3 linked regions of the Neodiprion lecontei genome follow. The protein of the gene in region 3 interacts with the protein of the main gene of each other region in a biochemical or structural test. Links are inferred from orthologs where the notes say so. Each region holds a gene or a part of one and is shown on either strand. Other genes may lie near its edges.

Region 1 (3,756 bases), on a different chromosome or scaffold from region 3:
ATTCTTGTTCATTAGTAATCAATCAACTAACTAATTGATACATAAAAATCTGAATTGAATTAAAAATTGTCCCATAAGTATGATAGTAAACAAGAATGTTTGCTTTTGATTCTGTAATTCTTTGTGTTGTTCTCAACATGAAAGTAATTTATTCCTACTCTCTCGCATAAAATGATGTTTCAAGTCGAAAGTATGGAATAAAACAATGAGAATACACTCTACACTGAATTGAAGCGGGAGTAAAATCTAACATTATTATGAGCACCAGTCGCGTTAAACGTATATAATCACATGTAAAATGCTGAGTATATAAAATTGTACAAAACTTGGAAGTGCGTATAATCGCAACAATGAAGGTGCCTCGAGTGATTTTACTAAAAAAAAAAAAAAAGACAATGAAAACAACGATTCGTACCAGCTCTGAGATTGGAAATGACGTTTCAAATGAATGCAGTATTTACATATACATTCCAAGTACGACATACCTATAATACGCCGTTACGTTGCAAGGGATAACCTAATGATAGTGACATGGTTATTTGTGACGATTGCCAGCGAATTGGTACCGGACTGATGAGATTGATGTGTCGAGTCGATTTGAGTATGATAGTCACGGGTAGAAGATGACAACAGGCCCTTACCTACTTCCACAACGTGTATTTTGTTGCCTTGCGTGTAATATTGTGGATTGCGTACTGAACGGAGAAGGACACGACCATTTTGCAGGAGACGTTGCGCTACCGTTCGTAACGACATTTCTCCGCACTCGTGGGCCGAGAGAGCCCGGGCGGGCCCTAACCCAGACGCGAAGAGTTTTAACTGGAAAATTTTGATCGCGCAATTATCAAGAGTCCTGGAACACTCTAATTATTTTTAAAAGAATTCGAACACGTCTTTTGTCGCCAGTTCAAAGTTCACCATTTGCAATTATCATACCCATGGATGAACCTGCCTTTCGGACCCGATTGGGTGAAATCAGCCTCCATTTTGCGCAGACTCGAAATCCGCAAAAGCGCGGGAAAATATGAAATCAGGAAACAGGACGTATACTACTCGCGGGTTTTTCCTTCTTTCGGATAAGGTACCTAGTGAAGCTGAATGCGACAAAAAAATCGTATCGCCAACAACGCTAATATAACGGTATAAGTATAATTAATTTTTCTGTCATAGCATAGATACTTATCATACTTCCTAGTTCGCAAGTACATCCGCGATTGTGGCGTTATAAAGGTAAACTTGCGTTGTAAAATCTGTTCAGTCTACTGATGATACATTTGGCGAAGTGCGAGGACACGCATAAAGAAAAATAATTCCAGTCAACCAACTTCTCTCAGTCTGAATTGATCCGTATTTACGATTCGAATGACGAAAGTGCGCCTGACAATGAGCGATACTTGGAATATAATGGTCATGCGTAAAGCGCACAAGTCAACTACGCAGGATGCTGGATTGTTTCACTTCCGGTATACGGGTCTTCCATCATATGTTTGTGTGCCGTGAAAATTGTTGGTTGTCAAAGTCGAAGGATATTTTTTCATTCGTTGTGACTCCTGATTTCTAACAATCGCAATAATATTCGCCCCGTATTTAGCCAGGTATTATCAAAACTCTGCGAGTGTACCGTGAAGTCGTATTTTCCAAACGCTCAAATTCCAGTTAACCTTTACAACGTTGACGTGGTTTTTTTTTTTTTTTATCATTTTTTTTTTTCATCGTCAAAACTGACGTCTGACTCCTCTACGAAAATAGGTTATCACGTTATACGTATACATGTAATTAATTGTATCGCGGTAATGTGTCTCACGAAAAACAGTTGAGCCTGATGTGAGAAATAATTAATACTCATTCGTGAATACAAGTGTGAAAACAGTGAAGTTTCCATTACCAATAGTACCGATCAACCCAGCCTAGTTTATATATATATGGTAATAATGAATAGAAAGCCAAACACTGCCACTGCTAGATTAAAGCAAGACTATTTGAGACTGAAAAAGGACCCGGTGCCGTACGTCGTAGCTGAACCCGTACCTTCGAATATATTAGAATGGTAATAAAGATAACATTATTTTGATCCTTCGCGTGCGTAAAAGATTGACAATTCATCCATTTGCACAATATTGATGTCAGTCGACGTATAGCATTGAATCAGGCTGCAAGCCTACGACGAGACAATTGATTTGTTTATTTATTTTTATACTTACAGGCATTATGTTGTCAACGGTCCGGAAAGTACACCTTACGAGGGTGGATTTTATCACGGAAAGCTCGTATTTCCACGGGAGTTTCCTTTCAAACCACCTAGCATATACATGACCACGCCAAACGGCAGATTCAAAGTAAACACACGGCTTTGTCTATCCATATCCGATTTTCATCCAGACACTTGGAACCCGGCATGGAGTGTTTCCACCATTCTCACCGGTCTCCTTAGCTTCATGGTAAGAAGGCTTCAGTAAAGTACATTTCCCATGTGCTAGTACTTCACATTGAAATTGCATATTTTTTTTAAGGTTTTCGCCAATATTGTTTCAAAAACTGTTGCAATACTTAAAACAAATGGAAAAATTCATATTCTACTTATTGTTGACATGTTGCTGGTTTCAGTCAAAATTTCAAATATTTACAATGTATTAAAAGTTTTGAGATATTGGAAAACTGTTGAAATATGGATATTGTTTTCGCACAGATTGAAAAGAGCCCGACACTGGGCAGCATAGAGACACCAGACTATGAAAAAAGGCTGTTGGCATCGCAGAGCCTTGAGTACAACCTCAAGGATAGTACATTTTGTGAATTATTCCCAGACACGGTATCGGTAAGTCGATAACCTCTTTGTTTAATGAATTTTTAAGATTCATTTACTCATTATGCAGCAAACTAGATACATAGATGCAATGATTTCACTCGATAGGCTATAAAAGCAGAGTTGGAGCACCGCAAGGAACTGGAAAAGCAAGCAAGGCATCAGTCGACAGCATCTGAAGTATCTTCGTTAATTAGAGATCAGTTTCAGAGAGAACAGAGTCCGCTTCATAGTGCCCTCACTAACCTCATTGTTATCGTAGGTTTTGCCGCGTTTGCCTATACTGTGAAGTATGTTTTGAGAAGCATTGCTACCGAGTAAATTAATTCTAGTTATATCATAGACATATTATGTTCTGTTCTACTGAAAACCTAAGAATGGGGTTCGTGTTTCTGTTATAAAAACACACTAGGAGCTTCGAAAGATCTGATATCTAGCGACTGGTCGAGCAGACGTAGGTAATAGTTCTTTTGTCCTGGACACGGATTTGATAGGAAACAATGATGTTGTTTTGATACCGAGAATGACTATTCAGTCTAATGTAACCAGGTCCGTAATCACATGGTTGAGTGAATTACTCGCATTATCCAACTCAAACATATGCATTTCCATTATTCATCTATAATATTTCTTTTTAACAATTATTTGCTTCAATTTTCATGTGTTATCTAGTATTCGCATTATAATTATCGTTGAATATGCAGATTCTAAATCACAAAATATTAGTAATATGAAGAAGATATATTTCTATAGATTTATAGAATACCTTCTACCTTGTTATTCATTTTAATTAAGCACAATATTACTCGCGAAATCATGCAAATTTTTCAATTTATTTCATGTTTTTCATTCATGAAAAACGATGGTCGAAAATTTTTGCATGTCTTCAGCTATGCAGAAACAATTACACAACAAAGTATGGAATTGAGTATGTATGATGCTCGACCAATTAG
Region 2 (3,756 bases), on a different chromosome or scaffold from region 3:
CCGTTATTAGGAAGATATATTTAATTTGTAATCAACTCAGTATTATTCCAAGAAAAATATTTAACATGTTTTTCAATTTACATTGAACAATAATTAATCGCTATCAAGGAAACAAATAATTGTTACATTACGGACAGACCAGCCGTATGATTATTTAATTTGTTTAATACATGTTATGTCATGTTTGTACAGTCGTTTTTCCATATACTTACCCACACCTGGAACTTTGTTTTCAGTAGTTTGTGCCGAGTCTGGAATTTGTATCTTTGTTTGGTTTTTTTTAGAGCCATTCAAATTGAATGGATCGAACGCATACCTCGGCGAAATGGTGAAATCGAATGAAACATATTTCATTAGAACTGCATTCTTTACTGATCATTGAATACAGATGGACGATGGGGAAAAATATATATCACAGAGATAACACAGTTTTGAAAACCTAAATTCCATATTTCACGTTTTATATACAATTATTTTGATAATTTAACGAGCAGTAAATAAATGATGAAAACAATTGGTACATAGATAACATTGGATTCATTTTTATGATATAAGACTATATTGGAATTCCAAGAGTCTTCTTAACTAGCTTCTGTGCAATTCTCTCAAATTCAAGGCGATCTTCTCTCCACATTTTAGCCGCGTCAACATTAGCTCCGCTCTCATCGTTAGGCTCTGCCAACATGCTGACGACACTCAATAAAATTTTTTCTACACTCTGCACAGGACTCCATCTTTCCGCGCTACTTTCGTAACCCATCGGATCATCTCCCGGCGCGTGAAGAATGCTAATGCAAACTCTTCCATCAGCATATACTGTGGGTTTAAAATTCCATCAACACTTCACACAATTGTATACTTATTTCCCATATATTGGATGAATATTTCCAAAACTTACTGTTCGGATGAAACATCTCACATGTGAATTGCATCTTTGGAGGACTCAGGGGATAATCAGGGGGAAAAATTAGCTTTGCTGGAAATACTCCGCCTTCAAAGCAAGTTCCTTCGGGTCCGCTGCATAATTCATATTCAATATAATTCTGAATGTAATGGGTACTTAATGTACATTATTACATTTCATTTCACATAGATGTATCCCATAGAATCTACAATTCCCACAGAAAGAACTTTTAATGGTGAGTTATGAAATGTCAATGATCAGATTTCTCGCCCTGACCTTTTCATTATCCTCAAATTTTTGGATCGAACTTCACCTTACTGAACAATTAAAAGAACATAGTTTTATTCTTCTGTGTTGATTTTTGTTAGAAATTCACCTCAAATTGTAAAATGTGGCAGATGTTTCTCATCATTAGAAATAATAGAACAAAATCCCAGTGTCAAAATTTCAGACTTTTCATATACCAAAAGCAAATTTTTCTGCTGATCAATTTTTAATGTTTGACCGTCTAAATCAATTAATAAATTTGAAATAAGAAATTTCCGACAATAGAGGGATTGTTCGATTTTTTTTTACATATTATTGGCAGAGTTGAAACGAAAGAAATTTTTGGCGCCAACTTACGGAACAATTTGAATATTTAAAAAATATGGCGCATCGCAGTTGTTTTTTTTTTTTTTTTTACCGAGAAAAACTGGTTCGTAGGCCTATCTTCGCTATGAGATACCGCCAATGCAGCAATTTTAATTAATATGGAAGACATGAAGTGTCAGCTGTCAGTTTCGATTTAAGTAACAGACGTGTTGAAAGAAAAGTTCGGTTGACTCACGTGATCAAAGCTTCCCATTCGAAAAAATTCTCCTCGTTAATTGGTCCGGCGATTATTCCTTCCGGAGGATTCAGTGTCAATTCTGAAAAATATTCAACAATTTTGAGGTTATGTAGAATATATTTCACGTCAATTGTATCAGCATGTATACCGTGAGAAACAAAACATTCTCTCACGTTTGTATTCTGCCATTAAACGTCTAAGAGCAGAACCCGCCATAATTATTGCTAAATATTATTCGCCCAAGTTAACACGGTCGATTCAACATGTCACCTATGGTAATTTTGGGATACTTTCACTGCTGTGGCCGCTACACTTTCCTACACTGATATCAAAATGATGAAAATCTGCCAATGAAATACTGCGCTCTACCGGCTGGCGTATAAAATGTTCAAAAGTGTAGCGGTGTTGGGTAATGAGACTTTTTTATTGGTACTGTTTCCGATCATGCACAGCGTACGTTTCAAAATGCGCCGCCAGCGCTAAAAAATCAACAAGACAGAGACAGAACTCGTAGTTAACCCATCGGTGCAACAGCAATAAAATATAAGTGACTGTACCGCCAACTAACTCCGGAACAAAGTCAGAAAGTGCATGGAAGTGCAGTAGCGGTAAAAGGACCTTCGGCACAATCTTTCGCCGTTAATGTATCATTTTAAACCAGCAAACTCTGCGAATGGTTGTTTAACTCGTCAAGCAAGTAACTAATAGACCGTCGATTACATTTGTAGGGATTCAATGGATTATTGAGCTCTATTCGACCCCACACTGCAGTCTTTTTGCTGTTTCATGTAAAGCTGAAATTAATTATGCACCGCACAAAATAAATTGAAATTTCCAAACACCGCGAAGCGAAAATACGGTGACAAGAGGTCCAAAGCAACAACGCGTTGTTTCGGAAGTCAAATACGTAAGACGTCTTAACAAACAAATTACTTTCGGCTTTGCTAACATTGTCCAGAAAGTTTTGAATATATACTAATTGCATTGTTCACAAATTTGGAAATTTATAATACTGATCGAATATCGTTTTCTGGTATTGTGTATCAGCAGCGAAAACAGCTGTAGACAAAGCGTAGCAAAGTCTGGCGCTGGTGAAGAGACTTTGAAAAAGTCTGTGTGGCGTGCGGGTCGCGACACTAACGGACGAACACGCTCATCATTGACCGAGCCATATGGTTTAGTGCTGGATTTCAAGCCGTGAGCGTTTAGTTCGACTCGGTGAGCGTTGCCCACCGTTTCACCGTTCGCTGCTTTCTCAGTTCCCGGTTATCGAAGTGTTCAGTCGCCATCTTGCGTATCGATCGTGGTGGTGATGCTTGTTTGTTTGCAGCCAACTTCAGTCGGGTGTAGAAATTTCTCCACTTTTGTGTAGAGTGTGAAGGTCCTCCGTCGTTTGTGCTCTCGATGTGTGCTGCCCCGTGATAAGGAGAGAGAAGAAAAGAAATAAAAAAAAATAAATAAATATACACATAATAACAACGTGTACCCGTAATAACGACAATAGAAACCTAAAGAAAAAAAAAAAACATCAATTTCTTGTTTGAAAATTAATCCATCAGTGTGTTGTATACTTGTAATAATTAAGGAGCCACTTTCCGGTAAGTAATTTACGATAATATAAAAACGGTGAAAAATCTAGCAGGGTATTAACGAAAACTAAGTATGTAGAACTCTACCGACACGGTGAAATCTAGAAACTCAAGTCTTGCCCAACTAAGGGGAAAAAAAGGGCCGCCTTACTCCGACCGGAGTAGAAAATCAGCACGCTAGTTTTCGATTAAATGAGGGTTAGATTCGCCCGATTATCACTTATTGGTGTGCTACACATGCATTCCCTAAACCTTTCCTGTCTCTGCGATGTTAACGCGATATTCGATAGCGTTCGGACCACGTAGGTAACCTGTGTGAATGTGTGCGTGTCTATATTCACGTCGAAAGATGAGATACGTCATTTTCCGTTGATAAAGGAATCGTATTATCGGTGTGTTCACAGTTCAGTCTGAAACACAGGCGTTATCCG
Region 3 (3,756 bases):
TCATCTTTATTGCTGGCCACCTGTTCCTCGACTTTCTTTACTACTTGCATCATTTTTTTAACTAGCTGTTGCCTTGCCATTCCTTTGCAACCTTCAAAATATTCCAAAGCTATAGGAAATATCGAGTCTGGCACTGAATTGTGATCGAGCAAATGGTCCATCAGCCATATCTGTCTTAGTTTTTCAAACTTCCAGTCGCTCTTCGCATGCTTCCACTGTAAGTTAAATTAAGTTCTATAGGAACATTAAGGGGCTGCCCTGGTCGATTTCGACGACGATATATATATATATTTTTTGCATTTGAGATACCTGAAACTTGATATATGAAGATTTATAAGGCAATGTCAAAATCAACTAGGGCACCTTCTTAGGACTATTTACATAAAAAAATTATAGGCTATCGCAGGTACCTTAGATATATAAGTGATCGCTTTTTGAGCTGCTTCTAATTTGCTAGATTCTTTTTGCTCAGCAATTTTCCTCTGCAGCTTCTCCTTCTTCATCTGTCTTTTAGAAGGTTCCTTAGGTTCCTTCGCGGGACTTTCTTCAGTCGATACTCCAGCCTCGTCATCGTTTTCAATTTCTTTGCTGGAAATAGAAGTTCGCTTATTACACTTATCACTATCGTCAGTACAGTTTTGGAGAACGATTCTTTCTCAATAACTAGTTACTAATAAAAACAGAGCGTACCTCGGACGCAATTTCTTCGACTCGATTTCAAACACAGGATCAGTCACTGCCTTTTTTCGTTTTCCTGGCTTCGACTGTTGGTCCTCGACAACCTGCTCCTGTTTATCACTACGTCGTCTTTTTTTACGCCCCGCTTCCTTCTTGTGTGATTTCTCATCGACGTCCATTCAAACTTGATAACCTATTCTCCCTGAAGCAACCGGCCTCGGTGTTGATAACCTTCAAAATCTTGTTCAATCTGTTCATCCGCGTATGTGATGTCCGCGTGTTTCTTTCTCATATTGCATGGTACCGCTCTAGAGGTGAACAGGCAAACATGTAACTTATTTCTGATTGGGTGCGCCACGAACCCATACGACGCGACGAGGAAGTTAAGAGGAAGTGCGATTTCACGGACGTTTTTTGTTCCTACAACTACATTCGCGATTGGTTGGTACGACTGCAAGTGAGAGGAGAGAAGCAGCTGGAAATAGCAGTAGATATTTTGTCACGACATTTATGATCCATCAATAGTTTTCGATTTTGTTCCACAATTTGGTACGAGAAGAAAGTAAAATATTCGTATATACAATATACGTAGACACATACGTGAGTAAGAGCTCTCATAACGTACCTTTACACTACACGCAGCGATGAATATATAGTTTTATTATTGCAATATGAACCGATGTTTTGACGACGAAAATACCATCGCCTACACATCACCTCCGACTTACATTTTAGGACTCGTTTTTAAGGCACATTTCTCATGATACGAGTAGCAGAATACGAAGGTATCCTCTTACCGTTCGTTACGTAACAACGTAAATATATACACTCGGCAATATCTTGATGTTTTTGTGACATTCAATCCGCCCTTAACCCCACTGACGATGCGCCAAATTCCGCTATTATTACCGTCGAATATATCACTTGGTATAACGCAATTTCAACAGAAATCATTTCCTCGAGTTAAGTTACGACATTTACAATCGCGATGTCAGCCGTGTATTTTTCAAAGCATAAGACATTTGTATAACTGCCTTTTTGCACAGGAATGACTTTCCCTTTCAGCTACATTGGTGGTGAAGCAAATATTACCAACATAACTTAACCAACATGACGGAGGACATGTTAGGGTCAGACATATGCAGGGTCTGCAGATCCGAAGGTTTGGCGGATAGGCCGCTGTTCCATCCATGCATTTGCACCGGCAGTATTAAATGGATACATCAGGAGTGCTTAGTGCAGTGGATGCGGTATTCGCGGAAAGAATACTGTGAATTATGTGGCTACCGCTTCTCCTTCACGCCGATCTACAGTCCTGACATGCCCAGACGTCTTCCTCTACGAGATGTTGTCGGCGGGCTGCTTTCCAGTATCGTTACAGCTGTCAAATATTGGCTTCATTACACCTTGGTCGCCATTGCATGGCTCGGCATTGTTCCACTCACAGCCTGTCGAACTTATCGTACTCTTTTCAGCGGGTCTCTGGATTTAGTTCGGGTTAGTCATCTAAGTATATCTACGTCCATCCAAATATCTCATGGTTTGGAAAAAGAAAATCATTGTATTTTTTTTCTCAGATAATGTCGCTGCCGATGGATATGCTTTCGACAGAAAATTTATCCTCAGACGTGTTCCATGGGTGCTTCGTAGTAACCTGCACTCTTTTTGGTTTCATCGGGCTGATTTGGCTGCGTGAACAAATTCTCCATGCTGGAGGACCCGACTGGCTTGAGAGAGACAATGTACAGTTGCCTCCGGTTGATAACCCTCCTCATCGAGATGGGCAGGATGGTCAAGCAGGACAAGACCAGCCTGCAGATAATCAGCCGCAAGCTCAGGATAACAATAATGTACCTCCCTTTGTTGAAGAACCTCCCATTTTGCAGGAGAGACAACACAATATCGAAGGTTACTTTTAAAATTGATGCAACTTACAATCTTACTGTACGATTGTTGATCAAGAACATTTTTTTTCAAATACTGATAATGTTTCTTTAATATTCACAGAAAACCAACATGATATTCCACTGGATCCCGATATAGGCGAAGGCATACTGAACAATGCTCCCGAAAATCCAGAGGAATATATATTAAACCCAGAAGTTGGTGAAAATAACATAGGGAATCCAGATGGGGCGCTCAGAGGTGAAGAAGAAGAACCAGTATTTCCTCCCAGGGACGAGCCAGGCATAGATGGTGCCCAGCCCAATGTCCAGGCTGGTGCAGGATGGAGGGCACAAGGTCAAGGCCAGGGGGAGGCTGAAGAGGCAAATTGGAATCCCATGGAATGGGATCGACCAGCCGAGGAACTAACTTGGGAGCGACTGTTGGGATTAGACGGGTCGCTTCTTTTCATTGAGCATGTTTTCTGGGTGGTTTCGTTGAACACTCTGTTCATAATGGTGAGCATAGAGAGATTGAAGATGAACATTGCTATGTTTGAGATGTCTTGAATCAATTACATCACCAATTCATTTTTCATTCTAGGTGTTTGCCTTCTGCCCTTATCACATTGGGCACATCACAATAGCGTGGCTAGGTCTACAAGAACATGTAACAGCCTCGCATTTCGAGGGACTAGTAACAACGCTTTGCGGTTACTGTGTGATCGCCGTTTCTATGGTGGTTTTGCACACACTAGCAGCTCTTCTAGGTTTGCAGCGATCGCAGAGGGTTCTAGGCCTTTGTTACGTTGTCGTGAAGGTCTCTTTATTGTCAGTTGTAGAGATAGGAGTCTTGCCACTAGTGTGCGGCTGGTGGCTCGACATCTGTTCTCTCGCAATGTTTGACGCCAGTCTCAGAGACAGAGAATCTTCGTTCAGGCTGGCGCCTGGAACTTCAATGTTCATTCACTGGCTTGTCGGAATGGTTTACATATATTATTTTGCCTCGTTCATTCTACTTCTAAGAGAAGTTGTGAGGCCAGGGGTTCTCTGGTTTCTCAGAAACTTGAATGATCCGGATTTCTCGCCTATCCAAGAGATGATACATCTACCACTGCTCAGACACGCCAGAAGACTCGTCGCGTCTGCAGTCATATTTGGAACCGTCGTACTACTAGTACTCTGGTTGCCAGTG

The links.
Region 1: the proteins of E3 ubiquitin-protein ligase MARCHF6 (region 3) and ubiquitin-conjugating enzyme E2 J2 form a complex in vitro, tested with the Homo sapiens proteins (2 studies listed by BioGRID, with this or other methods). The link is inferred for Neodiprion lecontei from reciprocal best matches to the Homo sapiens genes MARCHF6 and UBE2J2.
Region 2: the proteins of E3 ubiquitin-protein ligase MARCHF6 (region 3) and ubiquitin-conjugating enzyme E2 G2 form a complex in vitro, tested with the Homo sapiens proteins (2 studies listed by BioGRID). The link is inferred for Neodiprion lecontei from reciprocal best matches to the Homo sapiens genes MARCHF6 and UBE2G2.

Annotation. Positions count from the first base shown.
Region 1 is NC_060263.1:37,178,005-37,181,760, reverse strand, and holds the start of ubiquitin-conjugating enzyme E2 J2, read left to right. Parts: upstream 1-1,353; 5' UTR 1,354-1,922; coding exon 1,923-2,047; intron 2,048-2,203; coding exon 2,204-2,438; intron 2,439-2,686; coding exon 2,687-2,815; intron 2,816-2,911; coding exon 2,912-3,124; 3' UTR 3,125-3,756. Other genes in the region: serine/threonine-protein kinase Pink1, mitochondrial, read right to left, coding at 642-756. UniProt on the Homo sapiens protein: Catalyzes the covalent attachment of ubiquitin to other proteins. Seems to function in the selective degradation of misfolded membrane proteins from the endoplasmic reticulum (ERAD).
Region 2 is NC_060266.1:5,469,983-5,473,738, forward strand, and holds ubiquitin-conjugating enzyme E2 G2, read right to left. Parts: upstream 2,193-3,756; 5' UTR 1,953-2,192; coding exon 1,910-1,952; intron 1,816-1,909; coding exon 1,734-1,815; intron 1,018-1,733; coding exon 899-1,017; intron 817-898; coding exon 557-816; 3' UTR 430-556; downstream 1-429. UniProt on the Homo sapiens protein: Accepts ubiquitin from the E1 complex and catalyzes its covalent attachment to other proteins. In vitro catalyzes 'Lys-48'-linked polyubiquitination. Involved in endoplasmic reticulum-associated degradation (ERAD).
Region 3 is NC_060264.1:29,024,522-29,028,277, reverse strand, and holds the start of E3 ubiquitin-protein ligase MARCHF6, read left to right. Parts: upstream 1-1,130; 5' UTR 1,131-1,278; intron 1,279-1,303; exon of another isoform or gene 1,304-1,444; intron 1,445-1,475; exon of another isoform or gene 1,476-1,718; intron 1,719-1,743; 5' UTR 1,744-1,788; coding exon 1,789-2,175; intron 2,176-2,255; coding exon 2,256-2,586; intron 2,587-2,685; coding exon 2,686-3,080; intron 3,081-3,165; coding exon 3,166-3,756. Other genes in the region: uncharacterized protein C7orf50 homolog, read right to left, coding at 1-215, 411-588, 691-857. UniProt on the Homo sapiens protein: Endoplasmic reticulum membrane-associated E3 ubiquitin ligase that plays a critical role in mitigating endoplasmic reticulum stress, the regulation of cholesterol and lipid homeostasis, and ferroptosis.